Linked DNA regions of Coturnix japonica. The protein of the gene in region 1 interacts with the protein of each later gene in a pairwise test. Links are inferred from orthologs where the notes say so. Each region holds a gene or a part of one and is shown on either strand. Other genes may lie near its edges.

The links.
Region 2: the proteins of C23H1orf216 (region 1) and AMOT interact in binary tests that used the Homo sapiens proteins (3 or more experiments, as listed by UniProt). The two-hybrid records come from large-scale screens. The link is inferred for Coturnix japonica from reciprocal best matches to the Homo sapiens genes C1orf216 and AMOT.

What each region holds. Positions count from the first base shown.
Region 1 is NC_029538.1:3,768,287-3,772,035, reverse strand, and holds C23H1orf216 (UPF0500 protein C1orf216 homolog), read right to left. Parts: upstream 2,544-3,749; 5' UTR 2,376-2,543; intron 1,674-2,375; 5' UTR 1,660-1,673; coding exon 943-1,659; 3' UTR 243-942; downstream 1-242.
Region 2 is NC_029519.1:12,294,858-12,298,506, reverse strand, and holds part of AMOT (angiomotin), read right to left. Parts: intron 1,636-3,649; coding exon 1,513-1,635; intron 870-1,512; coding exon 637-869; intron 1-636.

The sequences.
Region 1 (3,749 bases):
ATCTCTGTGAGGCCCGAGGCACAGTCACCCCGGGGTCAGCGCTCAGGTGCTCCTATCTCCATCCCATCAGCACGGAGCTGGGCAATGGGGGCTGCAGCCCACGATGGGTGCAGGAGAGCAGAGGGAATAAGGGGGTAACCCAGCGGTGCTCAGCCTCCCACAGGGACAAGGCACAGCCCAATGCCCATCACAGCAGCAGCTTCAATGGTCACAGCAGCACTGGAGAAAGCACAGCACACAAACACAGCGTCTCCTTTTTAATCTCTATGTAAGAAGGGCCGTCCTTCATACTTCCCATGCAGCCCCCGCTGGTTAAAACAGGCATGAGGAAAGAAAACCCAAACAGCATCTTTGCTTTAAGACAACAATAGAATGCAATGAGCACAGCTTGGCGAGCAGCTCTGCGGCCATGCATGGTGCTAACACAGCTCCCCCAGCATGCAGATGTGCATCTATATGACCTGGTCAATAAAAAAATAGCAATAAATCAAAACCAGCTCTTCCCTAACACTGAACTGTGAAATAAGAGCGCAGGGTTTGGGGCCTGGTGATGCTTTATGAGTATTTCTGAGCATTCTGAGGTCACTTTTCAGAGTGATTCTCTCTCTGTGCACTTAATGCATGAATGCAGCTCCTCTCTGCTGCTGTGTCTGATGGGCTGTGGTCAGTCCTGGGGACAACCCAGGGCACCGTGCCCCAATGCACAGCAGCACATTGCACTGCAGGGCAATGGGTGCACACATCAGGTGTGAAAGGAGAAAGGCATTAAAGCTCTGTGGTTAATGGGATGGGCTCTATAGGGTGAGCACCACAATGCCCAGCATGGGGCTGACACAAACCCCGTGCACCAACATCACCATCAGAGCCAGCACTCAGCCCTGATTTGGGTGGAGAGCTGCGGGGAAGCAGAACGGGATTCAGAGCGTGGAATGCTCGCACAGCTCAGGGGCTGGGGGCAGCAGCGGGGCACGGCGCTCCGTGCTGCATGCAGCGGATCAGCTCCTTGCGGTTGTCCAGGATGGTATCGAAGCTCTCCTGCAGTCGGTCCTGCTGCTCCAGCACCTTCTGCTGCAGGCCGTGGATCCAGCGCAGCAGGGCCAGGCGGCGGTACATCACCAGCTGAACGTGATGCTTCTCCTTCTCCCGTTCCTTGAAGCGCTCCTTCTCCTGCAGCTGCTGCACCGCCTCCGCCAGCGCCGGGAATAGGGGCTCCGGGGGGGGCTCGGACACCTCGGGGGGGTCCCCGGGGGGATCCCAAGCGCTGCCGCAGGCGCTGTCGGGGCTGTCAATGCTGAGCGAGCTGCTGGCATAGCCGATATCCTCCGCCGGGGATCCACCCAACTCCCCCTCCCCGACCTCCGCCCCCTCGGGGGGGCTGCGCTCGCCCTGCTGGGGGGCACACGCTGAGCTCGAAGCGACGTCCCCCATCCCGCCCGGAGCCATCTGTCTCTGTGCTAACAGCAGCAGATTATCGGAGGGATTTGCAGTGTTGTTTTTGCCCCCCCCGTCAGCCCGGCTCCAGTTCTGGTTGTTGTCGCACTCATCGTCCCCTGCGAAGTTGCAGTTGGAGTCGGGGCTGCGTTGTAAGGACCCCGAAAAGGCTGAGCTCAAAGCGGGGACCCCCGGGAATGGGGCGTCGGGGGGGCACAGGGCGAACATCTCGGCGGTGCTGCCTGCAAAGGAGACGTGGGGATGAGCCCACAGTGCGGCACCGCATCAAAGGGGGGACCCGGGTTTGCAGGGATAAGGGAGTTTGTAGTGCTGAGATTTGGGTATCCCTGCGGTGGGGATGTGGGTCAGCCTCCTCCATCACTTGCCCCGGCACATGGAGGCAGAAGGGCTCTCCTTGCCCCAGGTCTTTCCTGCTGTGTGCTGGTGCCCGAAGCGGTGCCCAAAGGAGCGGATGGGACAGAGAGGGAAGGGAGAACACCGTGCTTATCTCCGGAGCATCAGCACGGAGAGCGCTCCCAGCGCTCACAACAACCACGTGAAGGATCCCCGTGATCGGCCCCGTAGGGATCAGCCCGGTGGGTCGGGGGGTCCCATGGGGCAGCGCTGCAATCAAGGAACACCCGGAGCTGCCCACGGAGACCCCCGAGCCCAACCCCCGGCCCTACACGGCACCTCCCCGAGCCCCCACAGCTCCGTAGCGATGCGGGATGACCCCCATCCCTCCGCCCCGCATCGCGCACCGCACGGGGACGGGCAGTGCGGGGCCGACCCGCAGCCGGGCGTTCCCGAAGGCCTCGTGTTGGGATGTGCGGGGCAGGGATGGGGATGCTCGCACGGATCGAGGCTGCGGGAACCGGCGCTGATCCCACCCTCAGGACCCCCCCTAAAGGATGGAGCCGCCCCGCAAAGCCGCCCGCACTCACCGGGGCCGCTCGCAGCTCCGCCGCCGGTGGGAGCGGAAGCGTTTCCACGCGGGGAGGTGCCACGGAGCCGCACTTCCGAGCGAAGCTGCGGTCCCCGCCGCCGTGGGCAGAGGGAGGGCGGCGGCTGCAGGGAGGGACCCGGCTGGGATGCGGTGCGAGGCGGGCAGCCTCAGCATCACCCGGGGAGGGGATGGGGATGTTGGGGTGGTTGGGGTTGGGGTCGTGGGGTGCTGCCCCCCGTGGGATGCGGGTCGCGGTGTCCGTGGGATCCCAAAGGGACCCTCGCGGTCCCCCCCCGCTGGGAGCCGTCTGTCTGCGGCATCAAACGGGAGGGCACGGGGGGGGGGGGGTCACATGGAGCCCCGCGGGCGGTCTGTGGATAATGAGGCTCTGTGGGGTTGGGGTGTTGTGGGCAGACGTTCTGCCGCTGTATTGAGAAGGCTGGGAATGGGGGAATAGCGCTGCTATGGGTTAAATCTGATCTGCTGACTCCTAGAAGGCCAAGAGATCAGCGCTGCTCTGGCCTCAAAGAAACCCCATAAGGACCGAGATGGGCCCTGGGGTTCCTCCCTGCACAGCACGAGGTGAAAGAAACAGTGAGCATCCAACCCTCCCCTCTGCCTGGATGTCCAGCCTGGCTGCACAGCCTCACTGTGCTGCAGCCAACCCCATGGCCTGGGCATCAAAACTGCTGGGAGTGATGCTGAGCAGTGATGGGGGGCAGTGGTGGGACCCCACTGTGCCATAGGACCCCTATGCCATGGCCATGGTGTCAGCTGGAGCTCCGGGCACAGGGACATGGGGAGTGGGGACACTGCTGGAGGGGGAAGGAGAGAAGGGAGGGCTCGGGGCTGGGGGAGCTTAGTGGTGGATTTCAGAGCCATTTTCCCCTCCTCTTCCCCTACAATGCTCCAGAAATGAATTAAAAGCTCTCCCTTCAGGAAATTAAAAGCTACTTTAAAAGAGCAAGAGCAGGATTCAAAGGGACGGAGTTATGTCCTGGGTGAGATGAAGGCCATTCATTGCACAGTGTGGCTCCAAAAGTCCCTAAATCACATTTCACCCAACTCCTGGCTCCATGCACTTGCCCCATGCAGGACCAGGCTGCCACCTGCAGTGCATGCTCACTGTGTGTGTGTCTGTGCATTGCACGGCCATGTGTGCATTGCATGCTCCTGAGCCAGCAGAGCAGCAGGCAGTGGTGCATTGGGGAGGCTGCGAGCAGGGGGAGGTGTGGGCTGGAATCTGCAACACCAGGAGGCAATGAAATGTGGTTGGGGTCCCATCAATTCCCATCTCCTGTGGCCACGGCCATGAGAGGACATGCTGTGCCATAGGGATGGGGTGGGTATGGCTGGGGACACCCAGGGCCCT
Region 2 (3,649 bases), on another chromosome or scaffold:
AAAGATTAGTGAGCTGGCACTATCATCCTACTTCCCTGACTCTGAGCAGTTGCTCAGTTGCAGATGGATAAATCTGCACACCCTGAGATCAGCTGCAAGAGATTCTCATTTACTTATCAGAAACTCAGGGAAGACTCCTGGGTCCAACTTCTTTAGAGAAAGAAAAACATCATCTAAGATTCCCTTTGATACAATTTCCTTTCTCCAAACAATAGTGCCGAGCCATTCCAGACAAAAGTCATGTTAGTGCAGGCACAGCTCTACAGGATGGCAATCCTGATCTGTATCTCAGCTGGCTGAAGGAGACTTTACACCCTCAGACAGCTGTAACAGCCCAGCTGAAAGCAAGTGCCTGGGAACTCTGAAAACCAGATCTCAAATACTGCTTTTATCAGGTACCAAACCAAGTGGGAATTAAAGCTGAACAATTTTCATGACTGAGCTTGGATATCACAGCTTCCCCAAAAATGATTAAAGCAAGCAGCTGCTGCAAGTGTGTTCCATTCTGCTTGCAGGCAGTTTTCCTGCATGCTAAGCCAGTCAATCTGTCTGTCAGATATCTACTTTCTGCTGTTCCTGCCTCCCCTATAGGCAGAGACTGGTGTATCTTAATCACCACCATTATTTAAAAATTACCTAGGCTGCCTTTCCAGCTCTTGTCCTCCCTCTTCTCTTCCAGGATGGGAGTGCTGCTCAGCGTGGATGAGTGGGACAGCAAGCCCGAGCCAGCATTTGAGATTGACATCAGTGACTTGGCAGGCCTCATGGAGGAGAGCTGGTCCGTCTTACCAGGCTCCTTCCGGGAGCGCTGCTGCAGGACTTTGATCATGGCGTCCTTCTCAATGATCTGAGCGTGCAGAGTCTTGATCCTTTTTGAAAAGGACAAAGGACAACAACATGCTTCAACTTCCATCACTTTGGACTGAGGCCTCAGCACCCCACAGCTGTGACTAGAACTCCCCTGGGCATTCAGGTAGGCATGGAGAGGACACCTCGAATACTGGCTGTTCTCTGACACTACACGGCATAGTGTATGAGGCCTCCTGTACATCTACATACAAAACTTCACTGAGACACCCCCTCACCTTTGGCTACTGGAAGCTGCTCTAAACAGGCAAGGAAGATGCTCTGAAGCAAAGCTGAGAGTTATGGGTGGGACATGAGGCCAAAAAAACAACAACAAAAGAATATTCACAAAGTCTGGGGAGTCTGCAACAAAAAATCCCTGCGATTTCCCCTGGGGAAAAACAACTCTGTGAAACAATAAAGAAGTGACTGGAACTTGGGGTCTGATGAAGACGGCCTGAAAAGAGAGGAATAAGCTAGGCACTAAATTGAAATACAGGTTTTGCATTGCTGTGCAGTTACTTCCTTGGTCAAACAAATGTCTGGCATTCTACATTGTTGTGACTGGTGAAGACACGTGAATTTCTGGTTCTGAGGCATCTACCTGAATAATTCATTTAAAATCCTTGTCCTAAAGTAGTCAAATAGGGACAAACTGCATTTTACCTTCCTTCCATGTCCAGACACCTCCTGTTGGCAAGCAGGATCTCTTCCTCCTCCTTCTGAATGCGAGCTTCCAGCGAGGTGTCATAGCTAGGGTTAGGTGAGTGGCTGATCACTGTTGTGTCCCTGGGAACAAGCAGTAGAGCAGATGAAGGGCAAACTAAGCATGCTGTTTTCCTCCTAGCGGTGCTAATTGATTGCTCAAAAGTAACAAGAACATCTACTGTTTCTGAGCCTAGGCTGGCTCAATGTCTTTTGAAAATCCCACTCCCAGGCGTAATGAAAGAAGGATTATAAAAATATGCAAATAATACTAACAACAGTCAACTTGCTGTCTATCTCAGGCCAGTCTATGATCTAACTGATGCACTGTGCTAACTTAAACAGACGGATGGGGCAAATCCAAGGGAAGAGATGGGAAAAGATAATATAAAATGTTAGTCACTTCTCTTCATCTGAAAAAGTACAAACTTTGCTTCAGAAGCAAGATTTTTTCCCCTTCTCTTCCAAGAAGTGGGTATCTGAGTATCGAAGGGAACTACGCACTAAAGTTTCTTCAGCATTTCTAAGCAACTTGATCCAAAAAACTTAAGAGTGGGCTGAAAACAGTTTAAGATCAATTAGTGCCTGACGTGTACACTGTAATGGTTGTTCATTCCATTAACCAAAACATGTCATCCTACTTGTTGCTGTACAGTCAGAATGAAGATACTGTGCTATGCTTTATACCACTGTATGATTCCTAATGCTTAAGAGCATGTTACTGACATAGCTATGTGTTAACATAGTATTAATTAAAAAAACAGTTGGAGTTACCAATAGCTGCAACTCATTGTAATTAGAAACTTACTCTCTTAGACCCAGCAGCCCTAAGAACTGACTGATAAATGTACATTTAACCCTGCAAAAGTTCAGACCAGGAACAGCAACAAATGAGTCTGAAGGGCATAGGAAGGTCACTCATCAAAGAACCCTAACGTGACCTAGATTCCTGCCTGTGCTGTAAAGCATCCTTCCTGCAACCCCGTCTTCCTAAGGGATGCTATTTTTCACCACCAAAGAGAAAGGAAAGCAAATTTGTGCACAGTGTAGATGAGGTTACCGTTGAAATTAGTGAAATCCCTTACAGCCTGTTTTTGAGAAGGCTATAATAAACTGCATGTAAACTGGCAGCGGTACTGATGGAACAGTTTATTTTAAGGGAGAAGGAGCTAGAAGGAAACGGAAAAGTAGGTTTGCTCTTTCCTGACTGGAAAGCATTCTTTGTTCATTTAACAAAACCCGAACAGGCCTAACACATCCCCTCTCACCCCATGATAAACAATAGACCAGACCTCTATTTATCAGTGCATGCTGAAAATATAACATAGCCTCGAGGGCCAAGCGGTATCAAAAGCCTTTAAACAATCACTGGGGAGGCAGAAAACAGTTCACAAGAAGCATCAATACCCCAAAATAACAGCATGCTTGGGGAGCAAGGTAAGTCTTTAACTGCTAACACAGCAGATCTGCAACTTTGCCCCTGTAATTTCAGTATGATCTTATGTGCTAGGAAGCCAGCTGCGATAACATCCCCATTTGAATCTCGTCTGTGAAACAATCTAAAATAAAATCTGCTGTTAAGAAACTGAAACTAGTGATCAATGAAATTACATGTAAGCACTACCTGAAGTTAAAGAGTTGCTCTCCAATAGCAGTGCTTGTTTACAAGCGAGCTGAAGACTTGGGCCTATTTATAACCATAATAACTGCTTCTATACAGCTGCATTGGAATGTGAGCTTGTTACCCAATTTCAGACACCCTTCCCTTCCCACTCCCACAAGAACTACTCTCCACACACAGCAGAATGTTTTGAGCAGAATTTCCTAGTAGATGCTTCTGGTTAGTAACCATGTGGAGGACAATACCACAAAGTAATTTGCAAAAACATTCTGGAGAACAAGCAAGCCATTCAGGGCGAACGATGTGAATCACCAAACTCACCCCATCCCACATGACTTCAGCAAGGACTGACTCCTGTTTGAAAAGAGAAAAAAAAAAAAGAAAAAAAACAACCCCAACAACGCTCCTCACACATCTATTTTTGAAGCAATAGCTTCTAGGAATGGCTTAGGAGAACTCCAGCCTGGAATATGGCTC